Linked DNA regions of Schizosaccharomyces pombe. Changing the gene in region 3 together with the main gene of any one other region gives a genetic interaction. Each region holds a gene or a part of one and is shown on either strand. Other genes may lie near its edges. The genes, in order: fin1, alp7 and pim1.

Region 1 (10,960 bases), on a different chromosome or scaffold from region 3:
GGAGTAGAAGGTGCCATCGTAAGAATAGGTGATGAGTCTTGAGTTGTTTGAGGAGAAGAGGAGGGCTTCCTCGTAGCCTGATTCTTCAAAGCAGCATTAGCATTCATTCTGCGATGTGCTATCTTCGTTAAACAGGCAATGGAAAAAAGATCATCTAGAGAAGATTGAACATTAGAAAACAAAGAGACCCAATATTGTGCGACGCTGCCAAATGAGGCAACATTAGGATCGGTGGAATCATAACGTGCAGTCGCGTGAGCACAACATTCACCAACTAAAAGAGACCATCTAGCAAAAATATGTTTAGGAACGACAAGACGATAATCGATGCATTGGTAAAACATATATTCCAAAACAAGTAATTTGTCAACTGGAAGTCCTGATAGGCGAGACCAAGCACGATTGCTAAAACTACGATCCTGTAAAAATTTTGTAGCGGCCATCAAGCAGACTAAGAAAAGACGACGCCCACATAACAGAGGAATGTAGTTAGTAGGCTTAGAAGAAGCAGCATCACGAAAACGGATGAAGTAATATAAAGCAAGAAGCAACGTAGTGTAATCGACACGACTTCTGCGAATCGTTTCATACAAAAACTGAGTAAGTGAAAGGGAGTGCGAATGTGATTGTTGATTTGTACTTTTAGCCAAGGGGTAGATAGAAAGAATCACGGTACTAAAGGACTCGAGCAAAGCTCGCATGTTAACTTTCGACATCGTGTAGAGAAATATCTAAGATGAAATTTTAAGCAGCTGTTGGAGAAAAATGAAAACTTTTAGCAAGCTTTTTCTCAAAGAGAAGAAAATACGAGTTTATGAAAGGGAAAAAAGCTAACAATGAAAGCTTTCGACGAAAATTTAGTAGAAAAGTAAAAATGGATGACAAAAATTGGAAGACGAACACAATGAGGAGAACGAGTAGATTGACTAAACAGTGCTCCTAACTGGAAAAAAACAGAAATCTCTAAAGGTATGCCATGTTGAAGACACGTACCCAAAATCAGTTAATATTATTATACAAGAAAAAGAAGCTTAGTAAGCCTAAAAAGTTGCAAAAATGAAGAGATAGATGTGTTGGCGAAAATAGTCATCCAAAGAAAGAGTGTAAGAAATAATAATGATTGCTTGAAATCGAATCTTCAAGCGCACAAAGTCGAATTTGAAGAAAGAAAATAAAGCAAAACCGAGATTTTGGGGACCAGGCAGATAAAAGGAAAACTTGAACTGTGTAAAAACCCAAAATAAGCTAGAAAGGAGAGATTGAAAAAATGAGAGGGAAACTACTTAACCAATCTCCTTAACGACGATAAAAGATGCAATCTCTAGAAGAATTTGTTGGCAGAAGAGAAAAACGAATGAAGCAAGGGATGGGATTCAACGATTGAAATATAAGCTAAGATGAATGCGGAAAATAAGCAAAGAAAACAGACCGACAGATAGATAAATAAATAATAAATAAATGTTTGAAATTACACGAAACCGTATGCGAAACCCAAAGTTAATCGACGAAACCAGCGACGGAGTTAGAAAACGTTAAAGCTACAGGGCGACAGCAGACGAATGAAACAAAGGAAAAGTAGATAAGCCTTTTCCCGAGAATTCAAAGAGGCGTGATATTGCAGTCAGCAGAGTAGTTGGAACAATGAAAAAAAGAATAGAAGAAAGAGAACACAAAGCACCTAAACCCAGACAAGCAAATAGAATAAAATAAAATAAAAAGAAAATGAAAAGTTATAATATATCGTGACAAAGAATTAAAGAAGAAGAAAAGAACCCTTCAGGTAGTAAAGGTCTAAGGTGAGAAAGATCCGTAGCGAATCAAATAGATTAGATTTATAATACAGCAGCACCGAATGGTAGGTTACGAGATTCTTCACAAAATGTTTAAAGGAAGGAAGAAAGAAACCAGCAGACTAATTATGTGTCAAGAGGAAGTAGGATTCGATGAACGATGAAAAAAAAAAGTAAAGAAGATGTTAATGGATGAATGATGATTCCCAAACAAAACAAGAAAAACACAATCCAAAACGAGGAAAATTGAGAATAGCACAAACACCAAACCAATTCTATCTAGGCTGAAGAAAGGAAGACGAATGTAACAAAAAAGAAAGGATGAACGTTATGTTTTGTATGGTTGCTTAGCAGAGGGACGACCGGCTCTTCTTAGGAGAGATGACTGATGTTATATATGCAAAGAATGGAAAAAAAAGGTGATTGTGGCAGATCTATGATTATATGAGATAAACATCAGTCGCGGCTTGTCAACCACATTTGTTACCGAGAGTGGCAGGTAACACTATCTGCAACAACGAGATCCTTTGCACATCAAACGTTAGTCCACCGTGATTTCACACCACTGCGTAAAGCAAACATCCATAATTTCAATGGGGTAAAACGCGTCGGTAAAGTTGGCGTCTTGGACTGCCGATTTTGTGAATGATAAGACGTGGAAGTTAAGTCAAGCCGGGACGTTGAAAGGTTTGGAAAGCTGCATCCAGAAAGGCCTCAACAATGGAAAAATTGGATCAGAGCAAGGTTTAGCAGTTGAAAATTGGGAGGGGGCGGAAGATTGGGATGGATAAATTCTGTAATGTCTAGGTATAGCGAAGGGGAAGGCAATGCGGAAAAGGATTTGAGGAAGGAGGCTCATAGGGATAGATGAATGATGTTTGGGGGGGGATATGAAGGACATGTGGTAGTTGGATCAATTTGCTTCCAATCTATTCTAGAGGTTTTCTTGCTTTGTTCCAAAAATATGAAAGTGGTGTCCATGATTCATGGCTCCGATAGATTCTGATTCCTCATAAGAAATTTTTTTTTCTTTGCGTTTCTTCGCTATGTTACCCAAGTTTTGGGCTGCTTTAAGCGACATTGGATTGGCTCAGCTCAGATGCCAAGCAAGTAATAGTAAGAGAGAGAGACATTCAAGGCGGATTCCACTATCCATCAGAGAAGGTGGGATAATGGGGTGGTATGAAGATGAAATGATTTCTTTAAGCGGAGTGGATGGATATTTTGAAAGAATTGCTAATTGTTTTACTTTGTGATGTGTAAAATTGCAATTTCTGTGATGGCATCGCTAACTCCATCGATATCGCTGATTCCATCAGCACTCGAAATGGCGAGCAAGCTTGCGCAACTTGCGAAGGCAAAGATGTAGGATGAAAGTAGCGATATTATTGATGAATACAGTTGTTGGGCAGGAAATATGATGGGCGATGCGATGAAAAGACGCGAATGGTTAAGAATTTGAAGAGTGAAAAAATAAAAGTAAAATAAAATTAATACATTAAATCAAAAGCAAAAAATAAAATTTATAAAATAAATCAAAAGTAAAAGTATCATTTTATAAATTAGTAATGAAACAAAACTTTGAATATGGAAAATCTCTCCATTAGTTTATTGAATAAACAAATATTTCGAATTTTTATTATTGTACTTTAAAATTTTTAAATTATTTTACCTTATAATTAATTTAATTTTTATAATTTACTTTTTTGCCCTTTAAATTTTTCTGTTTATTATTTATTATCATTCATGAATTTAGTATAATCTTTATTTTATTGCTATTATAATTTCATTAAATATATTTTGATTTCTTTTTTTCTTATTACGATTGAACACTTTTCCTCTTCTTATGGTTTATTTTGTTTTCTTTGAGTTTCCTCAACTACTTTCACCGTTGCTTTCTTTACTTTTTTTTTTCTTTCTTTAATTTATGATTATTAATTTATTATTTATTTTTTACCATTTATGTATCATATCCAAATTTTTTTTTTTTTTTATTTCTAATTTCCTATTATCCTTACTACATCCAAGCCATCCTCACTTCCCCTCGCCTCTCTTCTCCAACCGTAGCATAAACAATCCTTTCTTTCACAAAACTTTTTCACCCCCCTCACCTCTTTCTCTTTGTCCCAGCATTGCTTACCCTATCCTGCCTACCATTAAATCCCACATCCCACATCCCAGCTGTTATTGTACTTCCCAATTCTTTCTGTATTTCTGTACTGCGCTGGTTCAACGAAAACGCAAACATAAAATTTCCTTTCACCCACTCGTCCCTTGTTATCGTTGTTTTTTATTTTATCATTTTTATTTACTCTTATTTTGATTATTTTTTACAAGTTATCAGCGAGCGTGTTTATTTATCCATCCCTCTTGTTATCAGTCCAAGGAAAACTGTTTTACCGACCAGCGCATAAGCACCAAATCTGTTTTTCTTGTTTTATCTTTTCTAATTTTCAATGTATGCTTTTCTTTAGTTTTTATCGTGAGAAACAGCATTTGGCTTACAATTTTTCACATTCACATTCACATTCGCATCACATCTCATCTCATCCCATCTGCTACTCTTTGGCAGCACTCACGGATTCCACGCAATTAGCCCAAATCCGGTGATCTGTAAACATTTTTTAGCTTTCCAACAAGTGCAAACCTGACGGAATCCTTTAATACTTTTTTTTTCTTTTTCTTTTTTTTTTTTTTTTTTTGGTTGAGATAAATAACAAATTTTCTTTATTTTTTTCTCTTACACTTTAACTTTGAAATTAATCCATCTTTTTCATTTTGTACACAAATATTATATGTTATTTATCTTTTCTTTTTTTCAAGGTTCTCTCTCTTCTTCCACCACTACATGGAACGGTCCCGTTTTTTAAAAGTGCCTACTTTATTTGATTTGAACCGAGGAGTCCAAGGCACTTAATTCCTCCCTTCCCGTCTTTCTTGCTCCGCTTTGTCGGACCACAAGACAACTGCTGTTTTGACAGTTTTTGGCCTTAAAACTTAGTAAGTCACAACTACTACGAAATAGAGTCAGCAGCGTTATTACCACGTTGTTATCTTAAAAGACCTCCTTTTAACCTAATCACCTACCTCTCTTTACCACTACCCATTAGACTTCCCGGTTGTAGTGGAGGGTTCTAGGTACTTGGTGGGGGTTATGCATGCAGCCGAAGCAGAGGTGGTAACAGAGTACACAGGCTGAAGAAGATGTTGGGTAAATTAGGTTAAATGGCATGCATTACGATAAGGGAAATTACGCGTTCTTGGGATGACAAAAGTGAGTGCACAAATATCATATAGCGGTGCATAATCATCACATACCACGTAAAGTATTGACATACAGTGGAAAAAGGAAATATTGCTTCACCGAGACATCATAATGAGTCCATTACATAATAGGATATGTTTTAGCTAGCGAAGCTTCTTCTCATCCCACTCTAAAGGATCAGAGAGAGTTAAGGATGAATGGAGAAGGGTTTGTGTAAAGTAATATTGTGCTGAGTAAAGAGATATAGGGAGAGAGTTGATAATACAAAAAGATGGGGGTTGCAAGTTGGTGATTTGACTTATCTCTCAAAGAAAAGAAAGAACTTTAATATCCAATGGCCTTAGTTGGCAGCATAAAGAAAATTTGATACTTTCGATAGCTCTAAAAATAAAAAACAAAAACAAAGAAATTTAAACAAAACAAACATTTTATGCGATAAGAATGGGTTAAGATTGTAGTAACATGTGTCGGCACTTCTTTTAAGTCAAAGTATGTAAATAAAATGAAATAACAATGAATGACTAACTTTCATACTTCTACATTACAACTAAGTATTTATATGTGTTTGTCAATTACTAGTTTGTACTATATTCTGCTATTTTCATCATTGCTATTATCAATCCGTCAAGTGGTTAATTGATTCATCCCTCATTTGGAATCCTATTTGTGTCACTTCGTATACCATTAATATCCTTTTTTCTGCCACCCGAAATTGTAAAAATTTTTTTTACTTCTATTACTTCCACTTTGTTTTCTTTCTAGACTATTTTTGATGCCGCTTCCATAATCGGCTTCTTTTTGATAAGTCATCTCTCCAGATACCAGATATCTACTCATATACGAATTTACGTATATCTCCATTTATTATCTACGCAACTTATCCTTACACCAAAAAAAAAACAGTCTCTCTTGTCAAGGCTGGCGTTTCGTAGTTTTAGCTAATTCTTTGGTTCTCTCTAATTACTACATCCATGAATTTTTGTTTCTGTGTAATATTATTTCAAAAATTATAAAATTAAATTCCATTTACAATACGGCTCATTCGAATTTGGGGAAAAATATTGTTATTCAAAATTTCCTAATCATCTAAATGTGTACTGTTAAAAGGCTCAATTTACTAGCATCTCATATTCGAGAACTTGTAGATGCAAATATCGTGTTTGTATTCCTTTATTAGTAATAAACTTCGTGATAAACGCTGACCAGCAGTGTTTCATTTCTTTGAATAAATAGAAAACCAATCCTTATAATTAGGGGAAGTTCAACACGGTACGCATTTCAATAATTTCATTTACATTTGGGCCTTTATTTTTTGCTGTATTTTTTTTTTAGTACGCATTTGTGCTAATATAATTCTCGTACAATTAAATGCACCTTAGGGAACTTTACTTAAGCCCTCATCATTCGGGCGTCAAGCATTTTTCGTAGAAAGGGTCTTGGAATTTCTTCTTCATCATCTCTCCAAGACCCGGGTAGTGTTCGAGACTGTAAGCTAGTATAGTTCGAAGTAGATGCCGCCTTTCGTAGTTCCAATCCTGCATTGTCCATCGCTGATCGTCGAAGCTTGTTGTAACCAAGTCTTCCCAGCTGTTTTACAGGCGACCGCTTTTGTCCTTCCAACAGTTGTATCTTTTTCGGAGTCCGTAACACATACTCGTCGGGGTGTTGATTGATCTTCATCGTCTTAAAATTGCCATCCATTTCATTTTCTCTTGCTATCTTCTCTTCAGCATGAACATCATAAGGTGACGCTAGTGATGGTAAAGCATAGCCATGTAAGGTTTTTGAAGCTTTCGAAGGTTTCGACACTTCGTCCGAACGAATATTCAACTTTTCGAGTTTCTCCACATAAAGACTCTGCGGAGAAGGTGGGTGGACAAAAACAGACTTTGACTTCGTATCAGTCAACGTTGAATCAGTCGGGACGGATTCACCACTTGAAGCACTCACTGCCGTTTCATCGCTCTCTACGCTAAGTTTGCTAACTTTTCGATTTGGTAAACCTTCACCGTCTGAAAATTTATTACACAATTCAGAAGGGCTTAGCTTCTTTCCGTCCAAAGATGTGTGCAGCAACTTGTTCATGCAATCCGCCACTTGATTCGACGTGCCGTTTTTTTGCTGTAACGATGTAATTTGGCCATCTTTATCAATAGGTGTAGTCCTTAGAGATGACGCATTAGCTCTGTATTTCATTAATGTTGCAGTCGTATGTAAGGCTCTGCTTGATAATTCTTTACGGAGAGTAGGTCTTTTCAATATCGGTTGTTGTGTAGTTAGAGTGAAACCCGGACACGATAACGTTTGCAAGGGCTTGCTAATTCCTAACTTAGGAATATGAAGTAGGGGGGATTGTGATGCTTCAATTGTACAATCTACAAACATCTCAGCGGTACTGCTTTCAGGTTGTTCATTATGATCCACAGGACTTGTAACACGCATTTTCTGCATAGAGTTTACTACGGTTTGCATGTGTCTTTGATAACGAGCATCCATGTCACGCAGTTGCTTTTCCAACTCACGTCGCAATATCTCTTCACGTTGGGCTAAGCGAGAAGCTATAACGTTTTCGAGTTCACTTTCCCGAGCAGAAAGCCTTTGCTCGCGAAATTGGAGATCATTTTCCAATTGAATAAGCATCTGATGTTTTTTATGAAGCAAATCGCTTTGTTCCAAGACTACTCTCTCGGATTCCAATTTACTACGAATATCGGATAAAATAGGAGAGCGAAGTAGCTGGTAAGTAGTAGGTCTGAGGTCTGAATTAACTTCTAAGCAATGCCTGATTAGAAGGAAAACATCGTCGCTGTAATGATGATCCCAACAGGAGAGATTACCCTGGCAAATATTACGTTGCAATTCCAAATACGACCTTCCTTCAAAGGGATGCGTAAGCATGCAGATCTCAAAAATAACACAGCCAAGAGCCCAAACATCAGACTTCGCACTGTAAGGGCTGCTCCGAATTATTTCAGGAGACATATAGTATGGAGTTCCCACGTAACTCTGTGTGAAGACACGCGTATTGTCCAGCAATTTGGATAAACCAAAGTCTCCTAACTTAACTGAATTATTTTCATCAAGAAATATATTCGCAGGTTTGATATCTCGATGCAATACAGATTGTTTAGGATGAAAAATTTCTCTTGGCCACTGTGAGTCACAAGCAGGCGCATTTTCTCCATAATGGCAGCGATACAGAGCAAGTAGTAATTGCGTAAAAAATTTGAGAACCTCTTGCTCGGTAAATCTCTTTTTCTCTTCTTTATAACGTTGAATAAGATTGGCTAAATCACCATGACCACAATATTCCATATAAAGGTTTATTACCTGCGCAGAACGATTCAATTCTTCTCCGCAGTATTGAACAATATTTGGATGCTTAAGATTACGAAGAATATTCACTTCATCTGCGATGTACTGCTTTTCCTGCCGAGTAATGTTACCAAAGTGTATTTCCTTCTGAGCCAAAAGCTAAAAAGTATTAATAACTATAAAAATAAATTGCTTTCAAACTTACAGCACCATCCTTTAAGCGTTGAACCTATAATAGTTAGCATAATGCATAAAAAAGGAGTTGCAAAAAAAAATATCGATCAAAGTTTCAATTTGAAAAACTGTTTTGAATAGAGTACAAACAATAGCGAAAAGCATTTAAATCAATATAGTTTCCCTGTTTCTTAAGAAAACAATTGATTCAATGCTATAGATTCATTTGCCAACCACAAGTAGTTGCTCGCAAATAAACTGAAAACAAGAAAGAATTTTGCTATCCAATAACCAATTTCAGTGAAAATAAGATTAAAACTTACTTTATAAATCCTTCCAAAACTCCCATGTCCAATACACTCAAGAATCTTGTATTTTTCCATACTTCAGAACAGAAGTAGCCCATGAGATTCAGGTAAGCTTAAAATAAAACTAAATTTCTCGGTAGGACCTTTAAAGAAAAAGAAAAATTCTTCTATCAATTAATAATATAAAAAATACTGCTTGGAGTGATTGAGTGCTAAGTATATGAATTTCAAGCCAAGATGTTTATGTTTGGTTCTTCTGCAGTGTCTCGTTAAATCATCAAGTGTAAACAATGTTGCCATGGTTAGGAGTAACACTGTTACTTCAGGTGCTTATTGCTACGATTATAATATATATCCAGTCGCATTTTAATTTCTGTAAGAAAAAGATACGCTATTCAATAAGCAATGAGAAAAAGTTGTGGAGAATTTTTATCATCTATAATGCCTTTTATGACATGATTGTATAAGGTTTGTTGTAAATGAGCTTGGAATTTAACAGAGTCCTTTAAATCAAGTTTTAAAAAAATGAATAGCTAAACGTATTAATATTAGTTTGAGGCTTTCAAAAGATTTATCTGCATGTTTTATAAAAATCAATAGCATTAACAATAAACTGTTATTTTGCGTTAATTGGTTTTAGTGATCTACGCTAGGCTTCATGATTCATTCCATGCAAGCCATCTCCTTCAAATGAACTTACCGCTAATTTATATACGTTGCAAAACATATGTTACACAACAGTCTATCACAAGACTCTAGTAATATTGCCGGAAACATGTCTTTTGGGGGAAGTGGTTCTATCACGAATCGATCAACCTTAAAGCCACTTTCTGTCGATGATTTACGTTCGCCCTCTCCTCAAAAAGAATATCGTGGATTTCGAACATCTGTTTCTAACATTCCACAAGAAAAAAAATTTGTTCCCAGTCATCTTTCACACTTTGGATCAAGTCAGCAGCGTCGATTTGCCCCAGAGGTTAGCTCGCCTTTAGCAGAACCATATGAGTCATCGTAAGTAATTTCTTTGAAGAGTTTAAGGGACATTTGAAGACGGAGGATTAAAAAATTGTTTAGTATAATTGCTTTTTTACCTAATATCTATCTATATCCAAATTTGTTAGAGCTTCAGCCTAATCCCTATGAATTTTTAAATATTAGACATAAACTCTTAGAACCTTTACTAATTTTCTCTAAATAGCTCTTCCTTCCGTTTATCTCTCTCGAGTCCCCCTTCTTCAAAATTCGGCGGACCCAGCTTTGGTACACCGAAACCGTTTTTGCATACAAATCGTTTAGGTACCGGATCTTTAATTGAAGATGCTCCTCCTACTCAATCCATTTATGACTTTTCTTCCTCTAGGCAAATTAATGCTCTCAATGTTGGACAAAGTTCTTCCCCTTTTTCTCCTGTCTCTGAAAAGGTATACGACCCTTCTTTTACCATGTCTGGCGCTCCTCAAGATTCAAATACCTCCGTTATCGTTTTCGGTTTCCCACCAGAATTGACAAATCAAGTAATAGCTGAATTTTCTCGTTTTGGAACTATTATTAGCGAGAATTCATTAACTGCTTCAAGTGCCGGATTCACTCCCTCCAAGGGTCCCATATCTGGTAACTGGCTACAATTAACATATGCTGAGCCTTCTTCTGCTGCCAAAGCAGTTTTGTCTAACGGAATGTTGATAAATGACTCTTTTATGGTTGGATGTATATACAGCCCCGCAGAAGCGAAGGAGCATGTTCCGAAAACGTTAAGAAACAGCAATAAAGACTTGGAAATGACGGATGCCTCTTCCTCCGAAACCTCAATGTCTATTCCCGTGCATGCTGATGCCCATTTCCAATCCCAATCTGGTCTTGGTAAAAAAGTCATTGTTCAACACAAAAATGATATTTTTAAATCTTCTCAGAAACATCAACCTCGTAATTGGTTATTTCATTATTTATTTGGTTTTGGTTCAACTGAGCCAATAGATGAGGAAGAAAAATCTAAAACTGCTTCTGACAACACTTCGCTTCAAACTTCTCTATTTGGAAAAATTGTTCAAGTCGTATTGCACACATTGTTTGGGTTTTAAACTTGTTGCTCAATTAATTTGGATGTTATG
Region 2 (10,960 bases), on a different chromosome or scaffold from region 3:
TGCATGTGAATATAACCAGAGTTTTAGTGATGGAGGAATAGCCTTCCGATCTCCATAGCTTAATAGAAATGTTATTTTTAACTAATTCTTTGTATGGCATATGAGATACTTCGATTGGTATGTGTGTAAATGATTATCGTAACTTTAATGAATGTTTAGTAATGTAAAACTTTCAGGATGAAGTCGTCAATATTTTTACCTAAAATCCCGTATTACACAAACCAGAGTCATAAAATACGAACGCGATTACTCTCAATAGCTGATTACAATACGACATAAGTAGCTTTTCGAAATTACAAGCCCGAATCCAGCAATTTCTTCCAAAATCAACTAAATATTACCTTCTATTAAGACATAGATTAAAAAACCGACAAACCCTTCCTCTTAAAGTATTGTATACCCATAACTTCTAAGACTCGTTTATTATATTCCGCAAGTTAGAAAAATAGCAAAAGAAGTCACTTCCTAACCTTTAATACCTAAAATCTCCCTTAAAGCAACTGGGTCGCTTACTGCTGCTCGCTTTTGTGCCAAAAATTTTCTTCTGGTATGGAAATGAATGCTAGCGGGTCGGTTGCCTTCTTTGACCTTCTCGACAGAGGAAGTGGACTCTGGTTTATCCTTTAATTTTATTTTCTTTTTCTTTTTCTCTTCTTTGTCGCTTGAGCCTGATTTTCTCTTTTTTGAAGAACTTTCCTTATCCTTTTTCTTGTGCTCTTTTTTCTTCTTCTTCGTTATTTTTTCCAACTTTTTAGGATCAAGAGCCGAACCAGTAGAGGTCTTTTTCTTACTTTTCTTCTTAGAAGAGTGCTTCTTTCTTTTTTCACGCTTAGCTTCATCGGATGAAGACGCATCTTCACATACACGATCCTCATCCTCCTCTGCTTTTTGCATCCATTCAGAAAATTCACTAGTAAACGTCCCACCCAAAACAAATCGTCTGGATAGCTCAAGTGATTTTAAACCCTTCTCATTCGCACTCTGTCTCTCGTATGTTAGTTGCTGCACCTTTGCTTTCTCAGCATAGACACCATACGCAGACTCATCGCCGTTAAGTCGACCAAAAATAGCGTTGAATTCACCTAAACCGCTCCATTCAAGATCGTTAGTTGCTTTGGCTCCAATTCCCAGTGTATCATCTTTTAGGCTGACCTTGATGTTATGAATGCGACCATGTTGCTTTTCACCCAAGCCATTACCATTCACCCAACCGTAGGAGGATAAAAGCTTAAATCCCAATCTATTTGTATCTTTTGCCCATTTAGAATTCCGAGGATCCACACCAATCTGTTGTTTCTTTTTTACACCAGCCAAACCCATGATGTCCTGTTAATCTTCAATAAAATTTTTTTTTTATCGACGATCAATATGTGAGAGGACAAAAAAGAATGAGAATAAATTATAAGAAGTAATCAATTGTAAGAAATAATTAAAATTGCGAACAGCGCAAAGTAATATACATAAAAATATGTAGCAGCCTGAGTCCTAAAATCCCACCAAATCCTAGAACCGATGAATTCTTTCCCAAAATAAAACCTTTTTCGAGGATAGAATCAATTGAGTCTCCTCTTCTTTTATAAAAATATAAACACACGATAAATCAACGATCTAAACAAAGTCTTCTCGCTAATTGAGAAACTCTCCAAAATTTCTCGAGTATTGCACTCAAATTGGTGAAAAAGGATAAATTGATAGATCTTTATTAAGTTTTAAAAAAGAAAAGTACTGGTTCTTGGAATTTCTTGAAAAGTGGTGGGCTCAAGAAGGGAATATATGCAGTTGGTAAACCGGCTATGTGTTAAAAGCGCTATAGATGCTTTCAAAGGCATAATTGAAATCTTCTTTCAAATAACGTGAAAGCATTCCAAAAAATTACAATGTTATAATGAGCTGTAAATAATACCGGTCAAATCATCATTTAAGTCGTTTTAAAAGAAGTATTTCAAAAGACGTTAAATCTTACAATTCGAGCATACTCTGGAAAAAAATAAGCTTTAAAAAAGTTTATCCTTTTACTTTTAAAGCATACTTTAAATCTTCTAATATTATTTTTGTTATTCTTAGATTTTGTTCAACTGTTACTTTTCTACTCAAAAAAAAAAGCTGAATTAGGACCGCTATCGATGAATACGAATTGGGTTGATTAAACTTGAAAATTCTTAAAAAACAGTCTCGTAACATCTTGATCAATTCAGCCAAAAGTCATTATCCTCATTTTTTTGGTACTGGAAATTTTGATCTTTTCGACACTCCTTCCACCAACAACAGAATGGATGCCCAAAGCGCTCCTTCAGGCCAAGTTCAAGTCCGTTTTACTACTAGAAATGAGGATTTAGCTGTTGGTGACACGCCGATTTTTGTTCCTACATCTTTAAAGCGGTACGGCTTATCTCAAATTGTAAATCATCTTCTAAAAACAGGTATGTTTTCAGTTAACACATACTGGGTCAAAGCAGGAGAAAAGTCGCATAATTCAACCAACTTGAAGAAAATTTGAAGCAATAGAATAGCTGGTCTCATGCAAGGCCCAATTACTATAAAACTGTGTAGAAGCTGAAATTTGTTGGCGAGAATCAAATGGGGGCTTCTCGAATCTAAGAGTTACTCTAGTGTTCTTTTTCACGCCTTTCTTAAAATTTTGTAAAATTCTTGAAGATGCATTACTAAAAGCCCTTTTTTTATTTTTTTGTCTCTTTTACCTTTCATCCTCGTTTTGCTTCATTGCTATACAATTTTGCGATTTTTTAGTTAATTTAATTTATTTCCTTACTAACTTTACTAGAAAAGCCAACACCCTTTGATTTTTTGGTTCAGGGTCAGCTGTTAAAAACTACTCTCGATGAGTACATAGTTCAAAACGGATTGTCTACGGAGTCGATTCTTGATATTGAATATATCCAATCTACATTACCACCTGCATATTTAGCTTCTTTCTCTCATGACGATTGGATTTCTGGTATTCAACTAACCTCAGATACCATTCTTACTTCTTCATACGATGGGATAGCTCGTGTTTGGGATAAAAGTGGTGAAATAAAATTTCAATCAACTGGATGTGGATCATCTTTAAAAAGTGCATCCTGGCATATACCTAATCAAAGTTTTCTCACTGCTTCACTTGATCAAAAAATTTTTCATTGGGTGATCGAAGAGCCAGAATCAATGTTGGATGCTGAAAAGAAAAGCTCCGGTATCCTTCAAACTCTTTTCGTAGGGCACAAGGATATAGTTGAGCGCGTACGATCCTTAGAATCTTCAAGCGTTTTTATTTCTGCTTCTGCGGATAATACTGTCGGAATTTGGGATTTTGAAAGGTCTCCTGAGACTACCCTCGAGTCCTTTTCCTCGTCTATATCTAAAAAGAGACGTCGCAAAAATGCAGAATTCACACCTCAAGCTGGGGCTCGCTCTCCGCTGATCCTTTGTGAGGGGCATACTGGACCGGTGATGGATATCGTCTTTTCTGATGATCCAAGTGTTGCATATTCCGTAGGCCAAGATCACACAATTAAGACTTGGGATCTCATTACTGGGCAAAATGTTGATTCCAAGATAACCAAAGCTCCTCTTTTATGCGTGGAAAAACTTACTGACCTACACTTAGTCATTTGTGGTTCCTCTGCGCGACACATTGTTGTTCACGACCCTCGAGCGGGAAGCGACAAAATTGTGAGTCATACTTTATCCGGCCACAAGAATTTAGTTTCCGGATTATCGGCAAGCCCAGAAAATCCCTATATGTTTGCATCCGTCTCTCACGATAACACTTGTCGTGTTTGGGATGTCCGTGCTACATCCGGCAGTATTTACACAATTTCTAGAGCAGAAAAAACAGGCTCTCAGTGGGATAAACTTTTCGCTGTTGATTGGAATAAATCCATTGGTATTGTTACGGGAGGTACTGACAAACAACTTCAAATCAATCAATCCTCATCCTTTGGAAAAAGCGAATGAAAAAAGATGTAGCATAAAAAAAATTGACAGATTATGATTTAGTGTGGTACAAGCGGGATAAGTTAAGGAACAAGGTCATTACTACTAGAGATTAAAAGTTTGATTAAATTATTTAAGAGAACACTTTATTAAAGCAAAATAAGTTAATAATTCAAATTATACACACCACGTAGCTTAGTAATCGTGTAATAAACTTAAGCTTCAGAGCAAGTCTGTGAAATGTTTTGAAGAGTCTGAAAAACTGGTTTCTTCCGGCTCCTCTTCCTCTTTGACTGAGCTTTGATTAAACATCAGAGAGGAAGATGATTGCGGGTTTTTTCTACCAGAACCAACTGTAAAAATTGCAGTAGCATTTATACGAGTGTTAAATGGCTCTCCGGAAGGAAAATGGAAACTTTTGTGCAATCGTTCAAAAGGAGAATGAAAAGGTGTTTGCCTTTGAACGGTCGAACTGGAAGGTTTAGATGAAATAATAGAAATTAAAGAATTTGAAGATGCAGAAGAGACGTTTGAATAGGATCTAGTACGGGATGAATTCCTCGAAGAAGCAACGGAAGAACGCCCAGACAAGCTGCGTATGGGAGTTCGTGATCGTCGAGTCGGCTGGGGAGATATGACAGTATTTTGCAGAGGAGAAGGTGGAATATCAATATTAATTGAGAGGTTCGAACTTTTAGAAGGGCTATTTTGAGAGTTCGAGGGGAAGGTAAAGTCTTTATTACCGTCGAGGTTTACCGTTTTTAAAAGAGGAGGAGTGAATGGTGTGTTTTGCTCACCTGTATCAACGTGCGTTGTTTGAGGAAGATTTGAGTGTCTTCTTCCAAAACTGTTAATCGAAGGAAACACGGTAAGGTTCTCAACTGAATTGTCTAAAGACTCAGATAAATTATCGGAATCAAAATTTTCTTGAGTTAAATAGTTTTCAGCCGAAGGACTAGGTGTTCTTGGTCTAATTGCTGATGAGCTTAACGTATCAGCAGTATGCTTTTGTTTAGGATCGAATAACCAACTACGAAATGTAGAAAGCAAAGAATTACTTGAATCTGACGATGTATGCCGACTTTTTAAAGAATCCTGATTGTTGGACATAACAGAAACTTGAGCGGTTTTTAATGATGGAGTTGCTGGAGCTATGTGTACAGCCGAAGATGAACCTTTATGTAAATGAAACAAACCTTTCTTTTTTTTGTTTTCCTTACGCATTTCTTTTTCTAGTAATAAAAGCCACCATCCATAGAACATGTCACAGCGCTGTTGTGAGATGCTGGCATTAAGTTGATCCATGTCAACACCAACAAATTCAAGCCTTTTACGAACTTTTTCCTCTGCTTTCGAGGAAGGCCTTGGGTCTCGAATAGAAGATGAATGATATCCATTTTCCTTGAAATAGGGGTGAGAGATGATTTGATCGATAGAGGGTCGAAGTCGGTAATCCTTGCAAAGGAGGGATTTCAACAAGCTTGAAGAGTTTTTGGAGAGTGTTTCAGGATATTGAGGACATTCATTGATAATTTTTTGCTCAGTTAAAGATACATCGTCCTCGTCGAACGGGAGCCTTCCTATTAAGAGAGCGTACATAATTATACCCAGAGACCATATATCAACGCATTCACCAATATATTTATGGCCCTGTACTAGCTCCGGAGCACAATAAGCAACTGTACCACAACGTGTGTTCATAAATGTTCTACGGGAACAATCAGAATCTCTAGAAAACCCAAAGTCTCCAAGCTTAACATTGTAGGCTTTATCTAGAAAAATATTTTCGAGTTTAAGGTCACGGTGAACACAGCCTTGTCTATGTAAATACTGAATAGCACAGCATAGCTGCCACATGATACGGCAAGTGGTCTTTTCATCCAGCCTTTTTTCTCTCGCTACCCAGTCATACAATTCACCATTTGGACAATACTCCATGGCAAGATAAATTCGGTCTTCGGTGCATACTACTTCATAAAGCCTCGTGATGTTTGGATGAAGAAGACGCCGATGATGATGAATTTCTCGAGCAAGGATAATCGCTTGTTTCCTGCAAGATGATTTCAGGACAACCTTTAATAAAAATGTTAGCAAGGTACAATCAATTTATTGATGAATAAAACGTTTATCATTCTCATAATGTAATCAACCGACTTTGGAACGGTCAATATTCGCAATTTACGAGCCGTTTATTCTTCTTTTTATAACTTAGAGACATAGTAATCTTTGAATAACCCATACCTTTGTATTTGTCAGTAAATGAGCTGCCAAATAAACTTTTCCAAAGCTGCCTACAACCCATGCTTGTTAGATAGCCGTCCAGTATTGAGCGTTCACAATAACACAAAAGTATCGTACCTTCACCGACAACACTCTCAATGCGATATGTACCGACATCAGAGATACGAGGATTGCAAATTGTTGCAATTAGGTCATTGTATGAGGCCGATATCTGCCATTCATTAGATAATCACGATTTCCCTCTTTTCATATACATACGTTTGCCTTTTCATTTTTCTTCATACTAAAATTTGGCACACATAATATCAAAGGTTGACTTGCAAATTGTTTAGTGTTTACAGTAGGATACTTTGGTGTTATTACAAAGGCTTCGGAGAACAAGCTACCGAAAATTCACCGAGAGCTCGGTGAACTCTTCCCACTCTCTCCTTACTCAGTGTAAACCAGTATGTATGTGCCTTTTATTTACACCACCATTGTACGCCTAGTGTTGAATCAAGACGAAGAATTGAGGGCAATAAGGGGTTATTTATTGGGCATTGTATGACTCAAGTTTGTTATTGAACCATTGTTCTACGTAGGCGGACATCTGACCAGTTTTCAAAAAGTAAAAATAAAAGTTAGCTACTGATCGTTAACTTTGAAACGATAATACCAGCTGTAAAATATTTGAAAAAGGATTTTCTTGTGTATTTATATTTCATATATCTGTTAGTTCTTTATATCGTTTGACGATTTTAAAAAGTCATAACCGAAAATGAGTGATATCGTTTCGAGCTCTACAGATTACAGTAGGAGGTCTCCCTCCTCATCTAGTATTGGGACAAATGAAACTGATCATACGGGTTTTCATGAAAAAAGGCAAGGTGCCTCTTCAGAATCATTGATTCCTCCAGCTCAACGAAGTTCAGAGGAATCCATGCCTGCCCCTAAATTATTCCCTAAGTTAACTTCTAAACCCAATCCACAGCTGAATTTAAAGGATACTCTTAATAAGCGAGTAAGCGATCGACTACAAGCCTTAGAGTTGAATAAATCTTTTGATTTTTCAGGAACCCCTAGACCGATGCATCCCATATCCCATCCTTTGTCACAGCATAAAACGCCAGAATTTAAGCATAGAAAAAGAAATGTAGAATCTATTTTGACGCCGAAGAATCCTTCTTTATTTTCATCGTCCAATGCGGCCTCCCAACGAGGCTCTTTAAATACCGCTCCATCTAATTTTGCATACAGTCATTCATCATCTTTGCAAACATCAGCTAGTTCTAGGCCCCCAGTGCTTTCAAACGGAAGCTTCCCACGTCAAACTAATACGGCGCCGTTGAACCCACCAGTGCATTTGAAAGACAACATTCGCAACTCTGCTACACCATCAACTTCACAGGCCGATATACCTACTCAATACCCAATTAATTCCACTCAAAAGCAGCAAGCGAAATACGAAGCTGAAATAGAGGGCTACAAAGCCAAACTTGCTGGCACTTATCATGAAATTTCCGTACTCCAAAATACAATCGTCAATGTTTCGGGACAATTGATTGCCGTTAATGACCAACTTCAGCAACTTAGATCTGGAAAAGCATCGACTAGTCCCTCCACAAAGGATACCAACATGAGACTTGTTGAAGGGCATAATGAAGAGACATTAGCTCTTCAGAGAGGTAAATATACTCAAGAGGAAGTTGACAAGTTAATTCAAGAACGCATGGAAAAAGTTGCTGAAGATTTACATGCTCAGTACTCAGCCAAGCACACTCAGAAAATTAATGCTTTCAAAGCCAATTATGCTCGAAAATACGAGGCAACTATACAGGAGCTTCAAAATCAAATCGGTACTGCTCCTAATGCTCCAAAAATATCCAACAGTAACTGGGAGGAAGAAAGGCGAGCATTGAAAGCAGACAATCAGACTCTCCAAAAACAGCTGGAGAAAGCCATTCAAGAGCGCCAAGATATGTCAGATTTTTTGAACAATTTTAAAGCTGATATGGCGAAGAGTGATAAGTTACTAATGCAACAACAATCACAACAGACAGGTGATTTGGAAACACTTCGTTTACAACTGCAAGCGCTTCAAGAAGAGCTCCGGGTCGAAAGGGAGGAACGACAACAGTTGATACAAATGAGCGAGGACTTGGTAATTGCAATGGATCAACTGAATTTGGAGCAAAAATCATGATCTGCGCTTTCATTTTTGATAAAAACAATCTCCATAATTTTTTTTTTTTTTTTGATAGAGTATTGCTAATGTATTGATGCCGTTTCCTTTATCCAAACCACTTCTGTATTCTCATGATTAATTTAGTTTCATATTGATGACCCCAGTTTCATGAATACAACCCGAATTCTTTTGATTTCCATTAATTAAGCCTTCTTTTATGGTTATACATTATCTACCAATTTTCGTATATTTATACATCATAACAGTTCGATATACAACCTAATATAAATTGCATATCCACTCTTTCTTCTTTTATTTGTATTATAGATAGAATCAAAACTGGAGCCAATCTCAAGGCTAATTTCTCACATACATACATTAGAAAACGGTGCATTTATTTAATAAATATCCAATTATTATTAATTGCTCGTTCTAGGTGCTGTTTAAACCAAATATTTCTTTCCTGGTCTGTATGTTGCACCTACATCAATCTTACCTATACTGTACATCTACTAAGGACGTTCATTACTCTGTACTTTCCTACAGTATTTGATTAGGGAAGTATTGTTAAGAAGGAAATTAGTATAAAAAATAAGTCAGAAAATTTAGTCGGTTCTTAAACTTGCATTCAATTTTAGTAGCTAACTTAGTTCCATCATCCACGTGTGAAACAGGCTACTGAACACACCAATTGCGCTCTCCTTTTCTTCATATATTTAATTTTCAACAGTAATATTTTATATATGATAATATAACTAAATTGGATATAGTCAAACTACATAATATCTTATTTGAATCGCTTCTAGTTTATTATGGACTATAAGCAACGCATTGAAAAATTTAAAGACATTTTAAATTCGGAAGAGCCAATTTCTCTCCCTGGTTTATGCTCGCTTTGTATTCAAGGAATTCCTGATGAATATTCACTTAGGGCAAAAGCTTGGATGTTGATGCTTGAGTTCCTTCCTACCGATAGATCAAACTGGCAATCAGTTCTAGAAAAACATCGAAAAACTTATACATCTTTCGTTCAAGAGCTTCTTATTGATCCTTGGAGGAAACTAACTCTACACGAGGAATCAGGCGAAAACAGTGACCATCCTTTAAATACTAGTGATGATTCAAAATGGAAGGAATATTTCGATGACAATCAAATACTTGAACAAATTGATAAAGATATTCGTCGGACTCTCCCCGATTTATCGTTCTTTCAAGGAAAATCTGAGATCAACAAGAAACCTTCAGTCAACAATGTCAGTGAGAACATTAGTGTAAACACAGAAGACGATAAAGTTGAAGAAGTTGGACAGAAACTCAACTATACCAAAATAACTTCAATTGATCAAAGCCAAGAAACACCGGTCCATTTATCAACGATTGACTTTTCCAAATTTCAAGAAGAATGTCATCTTGTGCTACAAGGTCGAATTTATCGTCTTGAAAATGAATCGACTAGTTCATCTACAACAGCTCTCAGTACTCCTCGACAAAGCATGGATTCAAAAAGAACTATAAATGCTGAAGCAATAGCTGGAGAAAACAAGTTAGGCTTACATCGAGAAGCGGCTGAAAGGATTTTATTTATTTATGCGAAACTCAATCCGGGCATTGGATATGTACAAGGCATGAACGAGATTCTAGCTCCTTTGTATTATGTGTTAGCCACGGATCCTACTTATGAAAATTATTATTTATGTGAATGCGATGCATTTTTTTTATTTACTCAAATGATGGTTCAAGTTCGTGATTTGTATGAAAAAACTCTGGATCATGATTCGGATCATGGCATTCACTTTCTTATGTCTAAATTTACTGAACGTTTAAAAAAATATGATTATGAATTATGGGAGAATTTAGTACGTATTAATATTATATATCATTACTGACCAACCATTAGGAGGAAAAACAAATCCATCCAACGTACTATTCTTTTCGTTGGTTTACATGTTTATTGTCTCAGGAGTTTCCTTTGCCGGATGTAATACGATTATGGGACTCTATTATTGCAGATCAAATGAAAGCAAGATTATTTGGAAAAAACGATGATGGTTTCAACGGTGCTTATGACTTTTTAATGGATTTTTGTTGTTCCATATTAATTGAACTAAGAGAAAGTATTTTAGAAAGAAACTTTGCAGATTCAATTAAGCTGTTACAAGCTCATTTTAATGTTGATATGCCTAAATTGCTTAATCTTACATTTGAGTTGCAACATTTAAGGAAAACATCCAAAAATGATGAAGATATGTCTTATGTTCGGAAAAATAGCTACAATACTAATGCTTTGGCCAACTCTTTAAAAAATCGAGTATTGTCGACATATAACACTGTGAAGGCAAACGTCCCTCAAAGTAGTAGTTCTTATACTGATAATAACAAGCAGAAAGAACCATTGGAAGAAAAAAGAAGCTTTTTCCCTAGTTTTAGAAGCTCTCTAGATGGGGTATCTCCTACACAAGGCAGGGTAAGTAAACTTCTAGTTTTAATCCATCACGTGGTATTAACTCAGTTTTTAGAAGAGTGGAGAGGAAAATATAAGAACAATTTTTGCCAAGCCAACAGCCCATATTGGGGAAAATGGATGGTCAAATTTAAAAGTCAAAGGAAGCAGCATATTTCAAA
Region 3 (10,960 bases):
TAAAGACTTCGATACTGATCAGCTGAATTTCGTTTACTTTTGACTTATTAGTTAGTGTTAGCAGCCCGTCTATTCCTGCTTTTCGGTGGAAAATTGGTGCATCAAAATCCAAAGTAAGATTGACATCTTTAGTTTCCATTTGCGGGTTGGCAATTAAATCAAATATAATTTCTTTACCAGCATAACTAGTATTAATACATGTAATTACTGGTTCTTTACTAAATCGAAAGAAGCGCTTTCCTTTCTTCCACAAATCCATGTTATCTAGTTGGGTATTTGTTTGTTTACTTGTTCTGATTATTTAACCACGATTGGAATAACGAGCTTTGACAACATAAAACTCTGCGCTGAAAATAAATAATAACTTGTCAATAACTAAAGCTTTTACAATAATCCAAAAAATGGAATTTATATTGAAAAACTGATATTAGAATTTTGGCTACTATGTATCCGAGTTATGTATAGGGAACTCCAATTCCTGGAGAACTAGTGAACAACGATAGATACAGAGAATAACATGAGTAAAAATTCCAAAGACTTGAAGCACAGGCCGTGACATCAAGCGGTACATATCAAAAAATCATCCATCTAAAACTCTTCAAAGGCAACACCGAATTTGCATGAAGGATTTATATATATAATAAGGAAATAAATCATTGCAAAAAAATATAATTAGTTTAAAGTCGGTAAAGTCTGGTTGATAACTCAAATATTAACGTTCTTTTCTGCATTCGAATTGGGTTCCTCGTAATCAACAATTCCCGGATATTTTTGCTCAAATAACGTGTCGTTTAATTCCTCTGGAAAATTTGCAGGTCTATCACTTACGCTTCTGGAGGTTTCTGCACTTTGAATAGAAGCTACAGGCCTCAAATCGTTATTAAAAGACGTCTCTTGAATTTCTGTGTCTGTTAAATCTGGATTATGGAAACTTGAACTTGAGCGGTTAGCATAACTTCGTACACGCTCTCTTAATTCACTTTCACCTTCCAATCCTTCGTCAACATACTTGCTTGGAGAAAATTTAAAGTACGGATTTTTGTCATGAAAAGAAGGACGCTTCTTGTCAAGACTTGCCCGCTCACTATGTAAACTCACGGTTCTTTGTAAACCATTAAAAGTTCCAAAGTCGTCAACATCGGAGGCAATAGTGTTGGCAACAGAAGACGCGGTCGAAGTAGGATAAAGAATAGAGTTGGTTGAATCGGCAACAACGTCAGAAGCATTAATATCAGTACTAAGGTTTGACATATCTTGGGGTTCGATATTTGTCAAAGGATTGGCAGACTGTTGTGTGCGTTGAACGATATAGTCACCTCTAGTATTAGATGTTGTACGATAGAGCATAGTAGGACTGGAGGGGAGCCCCTCTTTAGATGTGTTTCTGGAAGTTTTGTTCGAATCTTTATGAGAAGGTGAATAATATTTGGAAAATGATTTGGCATGTCTAAGAGAATTATTAGAACCAAAATTAGTATTACTCAAATCATCAAGGTTAAAGGAGTGTTGCTCATAAGCCATAGAACGCGCATTGGGGCTCGAAGGTCCAGTAATTTTAACAGACGACCTAGAAGTGCTTGAAGGTCGTCTAGATACTGGACGATCAGGGAAATCAAAAGAAGACCTTACGCTACCAACCCCTTCCGAAAAATTTGTATCAAAGGCAGATATATCCTGAGTACCAGTGGTATGAGTACTATTTGCGGTTGAAGTACCAGCTGTCTGACGGAAACTAGCGAATGCATCATCAGCCAATTTTGCTATCTCTTGTTCCCTAGGGTTATGATGAGAACTAGTCGTAATATTAGTATGACTAGTAAGCTGTGACTCCAACTCATTTAGATCAGGATAACGCTGGTTAACAACTTCCTCAACGTCAACGTTATCGGCATCGAGTCCGGCGTTTGGTGAACCATTATCTTCTGTAACCTCGCTAGCAGAAAATTTTGAAGATGTTCCCGTGACTCCCTGAGATATTGGGAAGGGATTCTTACTTTGAGGTGTGTAGACTTTGCGACCACTAGCTCCTGAGCCAGTTACAGAACTTGATGAAACAACCTTCGGAGACGAAACACTCTGTCTGTTCACATCTTGAGTGTTGTTAAATGTTGCGGATTGGCTGTGGATAGAAGGATGTGCACTAGCTTGAGAAGTGCCAGAGAAAGTAGGTTGCAAAAATGGATTAGGGGAAACGGTTGGTACAGTCGGCACATTTGGTACGTTATAGATAGGAGCTGGCATAGGAGGAGGAGGGGGAGGTCTTGAGCCCTGAACCTGTGGAGTCGGCATGACTTGGTTTCCAGCAAACGGTGTTGTTGTTGTTTGTCGAAGCAAAGACATTATTTTCCGGTTATGCAAATCATAAAAAGACGACTCTCTTCCACTGTATATATCCCTAAAAGGTAAAGCCGTCCCTCTAAGACGACATATCTCACACATCAACTGAAAAATATTTGGACGAAGACAAGGATTCGGCTGAAGTAAAGCGATGATGACATTTTTAAGAGAATGTGAATAAGGAGGAAATGGGGGGAAGGAATATGAAGCTGTTAATATAGCGTTAGGACCTTGTGTTTCAAAAGGAGTTGTATAGTAACAGAGTTTGTATAACAAGACTCCTAAAGCCCACATGTCACTTTTCTCATCAATTCCTAAGCCTGAATACAAATTAATCATCTCAGGGGCACGATATTGGTAGGTAGTAAATGTGTTGATACTTTTTTCTAATGCTTGAATTTCGCTAGAGTTTTCAGCAGCATGCATTGGCTCAGTCACACTTCCAAAATCGCACAATTTAAAAGTATTAAAGCTTAGCAAAACATTTTCTACTTTCAGATCGCGATGAATGAGAGGAGGTCTCAGATAGTGTAAGGAAGCAACACCCTGTACAATATCTGAAATAATTTTTAAGACTTCATGCTCTGACAACCGAGTTTGTAACCTTTGATTCATAAAATCTATCAATCCACCCCCAGCGCAGTATTCCATCAAAAGCAGGATTTCAAATCCAGTGTTGACACCCGCTTTCTCGAGAGGAAATATGCAGGAGTCGATATACGAAACCACGTGGGGATTGGATTTGAGTAGTTCCTAATAAGTTAGACAAAAAAATCAATAACGTTAACATACCATCGTTTCGATTTCAGTTTTCACGAAACGCAGGGCATTCTCGTCTGGAGAATACATGCGTTTCAAAACAGCAGTTATCGGTGATCCATCAGTTTTGGAATTTGTTTGAACAAGATATACATGAGAAAAGCCGCCTAATGAAAAATGTTAGTAAAATAAATCTTTCATTGTAATACTCCTCGATCCATCCAACCCAAAAATTATACCTTCGGCTATGTACTTTTCGATAGTAACATTGTATTTTCCAATTACAAACTTGGATCCTGCTAGAAGCTTTTCGCCCGTGAGAAAGGATGCAACAGACATCCTAGAGAGGTTTTTTGTTCAATACTGGCTGAAGTCGCGAGGTTATTGTTTACACTCTCGCAATTCAATGGGACAGCATCCGAAGCCCTATCTACGTTAGTTGTAAATTTATTATAATAACTTACTCTTTGAAAAGGCTGTATTTACACAGTTTTGATCAAGATGAGCAAGGGATGCCAATTCTGCTGTTGGCAAGGTACTGAGCCAGTCACCAAACACCACAAGTCCCTTCTATAGGGTTAACCTTTGAGCCATTACCGATAGATAAAACCGCCCCCCACAAGACAACTTGCCGTATTTTGAAAATTTCAACTACAACTTTTAATAATTTGAGCTGATTAAGAAGAGAAATTAATTTTACAGTATACTCAAGTTCACAGGCAAACTTGTAGAATCAAGTTGAGTAACATCGTTACCCAAATTTATGACATGGCAAATTCACAGACATATAAATCCAGAAAAGAATAAAGAAAACAGAAACTGCTAACGACTATGTTCATTGTAACTAAATATTAAATCATGAGGGAAAAAAGTATATGGTCCTCATAAAAATAATTTATGAAGAGATTAAAATCGCGTTGCTTGAGTTCGTATTCTCGCATACGATCTTGCTGAACGATGGACACTCCGAGTCTTACTGTAACTTCTTATGACTAATGAGCTTTTTTTTTAAATTTGATCTTTGTTTAGCTATACATGAAACCGCTTTCTCAGATAAGAAGAGGTCTCAAATTTTCAACATTCGACGTGATTAAACGAATTTATATAAATCAAATGAAGTTAAAAAAAAAGAAAGGATTTCATAAAAATTCGTAGCTCACCTTACACACATTTGAACAAATACAAGCTGGGAACTTTTACTGAAGTCAATAACTTATTTTGCTAAACGAAGCTTATGTTGTAATTAACGAATGCTTAATTACAAGCTGCACATAACAACGATTCGCAGTATACTGAATAGTGAGAATCCGTATACAGAACGACTTGTTCGAGTTTTGAAAACAACGTCTCTGCGAAAACAAAAACGACATAAATCGTTGTTTTTTGTCTTTTGTAATATTTTAAACCCAAGCTATAGTAAGTGGTACCAAAAAGTAAATGTAATTCTTGGATTTGCGTCTGGTGATGGTTGCATGGAATACGCGATGACATCTTGTTCTTTTTTAAATTACAAATCGATTGTTAGTAGCAAAGCTAACCCTTCCAGCTAAAACTCATAATGACTTCTAATAGAAGTACTAGAAGCTCAACTAAAAGAGAGGAGGTCTCAAAAAATGGGGTTGAAAAAAGAGAATTAGATGAATCAGATGTGATGAAAAATGGCAAAAAGCCGGTTAAACGTGCAAAGGTCAGCTCTCTACCCAAACCCGTTCGTGTCCCAGGAAGCGCAAAGCGAATTAATAAGATACCTGAACTACCTACGGAACGATTGAACGTTTACGTCTTTGGAAGCGGTTCCATGAACGAGCTAGGTATGGGCGAAGAAGAAATGGATGTCGTTTATCGTCCTCGTTTGAATCCTATTTTATCTACAGATAAAGTAGGAGTAGTCGATTTGGCTGTTGGCGGCATGCATTCTGCAGCCCTTTCTCATGACGGTCGCGTATACACCTGGGGAGTTAATGATGACTATGCCCTTGGTCGTCTTACTAAGGATCAAAAGGATGAGAATGGAGACAAAGTTGACAATGATTTACTAGAGGGAACTCCTTCTAAGGTCGAAGGTGCTTTATCTCATCTACGCGTTACAAAAGTTATATGTAGCGACAATCTCACTGCAGCAATAACGGACAATGGCTGCTGCTTTACTTGGGGTACTTTCCGTGTAAGTAATTTGTTTTGGCCGTGAAAAATTATCATTTGATCTTTGATTCCAAATTCAGGTGCTGTTATCGTTGCAGTGTTGTTTATAGTCTATTGACTCATTGTATCATTTCCCTTCGCCCTTTTGGAACAAATGGCTTTATAAATTTATCATTTTTCGTTTGCTAACATACTAGTGTTCCGATGGTGTATTAGGGTATAGCGATTCTCAAAAACGTACAGCTGAACCGACGCAGATGCGACTTCCCGAAATTTGTCAATTAGCTACAGGGACGGACCATATTATTGCCTTGACTACCACAGGAAAAGTATATACATGGGGTAATGGTCAACAGTTTCAACTGGGTAGACGTATGTTAGAACGTCGTCGACTTCAAGGCTTGACTCCTCAACCGTTAGCTTTAAAAAATATTATTTCAGTTGGAGCAGGATCGTATCATTCTTTTGCGATTGACAACAAAGGACGCGTTTATGCTTGGGGCTTAAATATAACCAGACAATGTGGAATAGAGGTAGAAGATGAAGAAGAAGGCGCCGTTATTACAAAGCCTACACTCGTTGATGCTTTAGAAGGATATAATGTTAAGTCTATTACAGGTGGTGAACATCATACCCTAGCCTTACTTGAAGATGGGAGAGTGTTAGCCTGGGGTCGAGATGATCGTCATCAATTAGGAATTCCGGATAATGCACTTCCAGAAACAGTAGTTAAAGATGAAAAGGGAAACAATTACTACTTGTCAACCCCTACTATAATCCCAGGACTTACTAATGTTATACAGGTCGTGTGTGGTACCCATCACAACTTGGCTGTTACCTCAGATGGTAAGGTTTATTCATGGGGATCTGCTGAAAACTACGAGGTTGGTCAAGGTGATAATGATGAAGATGTAGCTGTTCCTACATTAGTTCGTTCCAAGGCAATCAAGGAAGTGGCGATCCGTGTAGCGGGTGCAGGTGGTCAATTTTCCATCATTGCTGGTATTCCCAACGCTTCCGAAGAGCCAGTTGCAAATGGCATAAAAAGCGAACCCGAAAATGAAAAAAAATTAAAAACCGAAGAAACTTCCAAAACGGATGACTCTCCCGTTACTGATGCAAAGCCCGATGTCACCTCTAACGGCGAACCATCTACCGCTACATCTGAATCTAAGGATTCTGTTCTCGAACCCAGCTCCACCACTGCTTAGTACTTAATTTCTCAATTTCTTTTAACTATTTTTGGGCTAGATAAATTATTTTGAATATCAATGTGTTTGATGCATACAAAATTCATGAGTTTTCCAAATGGATAAAAAAATCGCAGATTTGCTTCAAGAGCTTCAAAGCTCCTCCAACGTAACGAGTAATCAGCTTGAAAATGTAGACAAATCATCCATCCCTCTATCGAAGGCTCGGAAACCCTCTGATTTTGAGTTGAACAATTCTATAGAGGACGCAGAAAAAATTAAAACCTATCCCGCTGCCTTGAGGTACATCTTTGCCCTAAATTCCCGCCATCCCGAAAAGTTACAAAAATTAAGAAAGATGAAGGCTATGCAGGAACGTCAAGAGCGCAACTGGTCTCTGGAACGGCAGCGGCTAGTTCAACATTTTGAGTCGAAAACTAAGCTTCAAGAAATACTGAAACCGCTTTCCTCCGACCCTAAATTGAAACAACCGTCCAATTGTCTTAATGACCAGACCAACAATGATTCCGCTCAAACTTTAGATGACAATAGGGCTTTACAAGAATTTGATGAACAAGTGGTACAATTGACAAACAGGATGTACAAAGAACAGCTTGCAATCCTTGCAGACCTGAAGATACCATTGTTTTTGTCAGTGAATAATGATGAAGAGTTATCTGAAGATCAGAAGCGCCTCTTACAATTGTTACAGGATCTCCTTGGAGCCTAATAAAGTATAGATTGATAAATCCTTTCTGGTTACAATGTCGTTGTTGTTTTCATAAAAGTTTCTTTGTACAGATATATGGACACCAAATTAATAAAAATTTAAAATTACGAAAGTAGCTGAAAGCTGTCAGATAAATTTACTATGTAGATAAATATATTGATCTACCAAAACAAAAAACAATTACAAAAAACAATAACGAATTGGATAATTTGTTCTTACTATGGTTAAGTAGAACTTCTAAAATGAAAATGGCTGAATACAAAGAAAAAAACATAAAACGACAGTAGCGGTATCCAGCCTAAATGCAAATCCCAATAAAACTAAAAGAGCGGACGGTAACAACTAAGTATATATGTACAAAAAGATTCTTCGCCATACAACCAAGGACAAAGACAATTAAACTAGATAAACAGAGAAAAACAATTAAAAGTATTACATACGATTTTCCCTCCGGCGATCAAGTGTATGGAAAAGCTTCATAGATGAGCTTCTAGACAATGAATACGAACGAGATTTGATTCTTGGGGGTGAACCAGGATCCACCTCGGAGCTTTTCATGTTTGAAAAATTTGAACTCGGACTATTGGAATAAGTGGCACTAGAATGACGACTAAAAGAGCGCCAACGCTTAATGGATCCATTTCTTGGATTAAAAGAATTAATCCTAATGGATGTCGAGGCTATAGGAGTAGGTGCAGCAGATTGCGTAATTAAAGTAGAAGAAGTATTTGGAGAAGTAGGCGCAGCTACCAGAGGAGGTAGTGAAGACAAAGGAATGGTTTTGATAAAGCTTCCTTGATGATTGATAAGGAACAAAAGAGCCGTTTGCGATATTTGATAATCTTTTGAGTAAACCTCGTGATCAGGATGAGATAGAATTCCAGGTTGGAAAATAGCAGCCAAATTATCAGCAGTCATCAGGTTCTTCGACGAGTTCATCGCAAAAACGGAAAGTAAGTCCAGTAAATAAAGTAAAAGCTGGCGATTTGGAATCGGTAATTCATCAATGCGTCGACGATACATTTCCACTCGCTCATTGTCTGTAAGATTGGGAATTGTCATGGGTTCACGAAACCTTTCATAATACTCCAAAGGAATCACATGCTCTGGCATTAGATTGATGAATCTCCGAAAAACATTGGCAGCATCATGAACTGTGTATCCTTCCCAATCAAAACTTCGGCCATAATCCGGGCCTGTACTGAAAGCTTTTTGGAGAATTTGGATTCGTTTGGAAGAACCATTAACGCGAAAAATTCCCTTTACTTGGGTAGCATTTTGTTTAAGAAAAAACCCGCACTTAGCAACGACAGCGGGAATGTAGCCATAAAATACTTTCTCACCGTCTCGGCGTGTCAGAAAGATAGCGACCTTCGATACTTCCAAAGCCCTTGTAAGGCTCAGACCAAACAATTTATTGTCATCTGACTTTTTAACCCGCAATTGCTTCCACCAGCTAGCGAATGATGACTTTTTCCCCATATCGTCAATCTGTAGGACTCCTACGACAACAGTCATGAACAATGGCTATTGTAATAAAAATTGAAAAACTTAACAAATGAAAACAATAAAAAAAAGAATTCAATGAGGAAAATGAGATAACAGACAAAAGATTTAAACCCAAATACAATGAAAGAATTGTAGATGTGTAAAAAAAAAGTAACCGATAAATTGACACTCTTTAAAATTGAATAACAATTCTGTTCAACTCAAATAACACTGTTCTCCACTAGATGGGTAAACTTAACTTAATAAATTGCGCTTTTAGAATTATTTGTTGTATTGTGTACAAAGCAGGTTCACACTACGGGGTTGGTAAGTACTAGTTAGCTATTGCAAGGTGGGTGTCGCAGTTTCACAGCCGGTACTTCCGAGGATGCTCGGGGAAGGCAAATCCTCTAATAAAATACCAAACTACTCGCTTGGTTACTAATTTAAAGGAATTTATAAGTCGTTCAAGCGAGCAACTCGTAAAGAGAGAGGCTTAGCATTGTCCTGTACGCATTAGCGTGCCAATATCGTATACTGACCTTTGGATGATGGAATGATTTTACCATACGATTCGATACATTCCTTAACACTTCGGAGAAAACAAACATTCTGCTTGCGATAGCGAAGATTTTGCAATTTTACGATCATGGCACATTAGCGTTAGTGTCAGTAGGAAGTGTGCTGATACCACCCATCCCAGATTAGCAGTGCAAAGTGGGCTCATTAAAGGACGAGTTGAAAGTCATGTTCCTAGGAAATATTTGAATTGCGAATTCTTACAAGTCAAACTGACGAGTTTTGACAATGAAGAATGCCCTCCCCTTGGTTGTTGGTATACTGTTTTTATTGATAAATAAAAGTACCATGTCTCTCTGTACATACAACTACGATTTTCGATATACAGGAATGTTTAGATAATTAATCTTTTAAGAGAAATTCTTTTAGTAATGCAAATTTCTATGATTGTATAATATGCTTGAAACTGTGATTTGTCTGGGGTTTTCTTTTTTGTTATATTTTTATTATGTACAACGACTCTTGTTCACCCAGGTCGAAGAGCTAAGGGTCGCTCATTTCTATATTTCTTTCAAGTTTCCTTTTTTTGCTTAATACATTATCATTTGATTGTTGCGATTGATTGTTACAATCGATCGCTCGCACCGATAATCTCAATTAAGCTCAGCGTGTTGACTTACTTTATCTAACCTTTAAAATAGGTCATCGCTACAAAAATTAGTAAACGAAAGAATAAAGAAAATACAAATCCTTCAATTGATTTCTCGTTTTACTCCCTTTTTACTCGGCAATGTAATAATAAATTAATAATATACATTACATTATTTTTATTTACTACACTTTTAAAATAGCGATGTGGGTATTGGACGCATCAAATCAATTCATTGAATTGAAAGTCTGTAAATACCGGGATTTGTCATCCCATCAAACAAAACTAAGCTGCCCTCAAGAAATTGTACAAAAATTTAAAATTTCTTTGACTAGCTCCTATTATGCGATTGTTTCGTCGAATATTTTATATGATCGGTTCGAAACGATAGCCATGCAAGATGAGCAGCAACAGTAATGCTCGTTAAATTAACTAAAAAGCAACTTATTACAAACCAATTGGTAATTTCATAAAAAAAATGAAATGGTTTGGAGAACAGTGTACAAGCTAATGGATAGCATACTAAACGTAACACACCAGACAACCATGCATACTCGGATTTACATAATCAACTTAGTATCTTTATCTTAAGATACAAATTAGTATTTTACGCAAATTCTCAAAAATCGACCGAGTAAATAAGTAATGTCATCTCATTTTATTATTTACTACGAAAATCAGCATATTTGTAAGGTGAGAAGCTTTCAGCTCTTAAGCTTAGATAGTGGAAATTTTGCAATCCGTAAAATGTAGATTGTGAGAAGGATCTTATATGATTGTATGCATTATGTAAAGTTGGTTTACGAATATGGGCTTTAAATATCCTTGGATATAAACAAGACATTGGGTACTACTATAACTGTATAAATTGTTTACAATTTGAACTGAGGAACAAAAATTCGGTCGATTTATTTTAAAGGATTTTAGTCTTAAAGATAATTACTCTCAAAGAACGGATATATATCCGCTGCGGAACGGAAATATAAATAACTACAGATTATATACTGATTAACGACATAGCGTAGTAGAAAAATACAGATAAGATATCGTTAGTTTTACGTTACGCTAAACTCGATAAGATATTCTCATTTCTCCTGCTAAATTTGCTGTATTTTTCCTCGCAAAGCTTCGGTATTGAAAAAAAAT

Evidence for each region.
Region 1: of pim1 (region 3) and fin1, changing one enhances a phenotype caused by changing the other (phenotypic enhancement), as found in Schizosaccharomyces pombe (2 studies listed by BioGRID, with this or other methods).
Region 2: of pim1 (region 3) and alp7, a mutation in one rescues a mutant of the other (synthetic rescue), as found in Schizosaccharomyces pombe (2 studies listed by BioGRID, with this or other methods).

Annotation. Positions count from the first base shown.
Region 1 is NC_003424.3:1,352,327-1,363,286, reverse strand, and holds fin1 (NIMA-like serine/threonine protein kinase Fin1), read right to left. Parts: upstream 9,067-10,960; 5' UTR 8,928-9,066; coding exon 8,868-8,927; intron 8,600-8,867; coding exon 8,576-8,599; intron 8,530-8,575; coding exon 6,445-8,529; 3' UTR 6,103-6,444; downstream 1-6,102. Other genes in the region: cyclin Pas1, read right to left, coding at 1-716; nucleoporin Nup40, read left to right, coding at 9,628-9,863, 10,051-10,930. UniProt on the Schizosaccharomyces pombe protein: Promotes chromosome condensation and nuclear envelope dynamics during mitosis. Activity appears at metaphase-anaphase transition.
Region 2 is NC_003424.3:5,000,167-5,011,126, reverse strand, and holds alp7 (kinetochore-associated protein Alp7), read left to right. Parts: upstream 1-6,641; 5' UTR 6,642-6,931; coding exon 6,932-8,356; 3' UTR 8,357-8,727; downstream 8,728-10,960. Other genes in the region: pxr1 (PINX1 family ribosome biogenesis protein), read right to left, coding at 466-1,320; ribosome biogenesis protein Ytm1, read left to right, coding at 2,270-2,420, 2,783-3,954; serine/threonine protein kinase Ppk16, read right to left, coding at 4,156-6,006, 6,175-6,224, 6,292-6,385, 6,433-6,456; tbc13 (GTPase-activating protein), read left to right, coding at 9,151-10,194, 10,236-10,802, 10,855-10,960. UniProt on the Schizosaccharomyces pombe protein: Required for bipolar spindle formation and proper chromosome segregation. Has an indirect role in connecting the kinetochores and the plus end of pole to chromosome microtubules by targeting alp14 to the spindle pole body.
Region 3 is NC_003423.3:2,484,523-2,495,482, reverse strand, and holds pim1 (RCC1 family Ran GEF), read left to right. Parts: upstream 1-4,447; 5' UTR 4,448-4,512; exon of another isoform or gene 4,513-4,642; 5' UTR 4,643-4,654; coding exon 4,655-5,260; exon of another isoform or gene 5,261-5,435; coding exon 5,436-6,449; 3' UTR 6,450-6,464; downstream 6,465-10,960. Other genes in the region: SPOM_SPBC557.05 (arrestin, meiosis specific), read right to left, coding at 1-259; Ark1/Prk1 family protein kinase Ppk29, read right to left, coding at 706-3,090, 3,130-3,263, 3,336-3,435; SPOM_SPBC557.02C (uncharacterized protein), read left to right, coding at 6,547-7,158; Rho-type GTPase-activating protein Rga5, read right to left, coding at 7,591-8,676.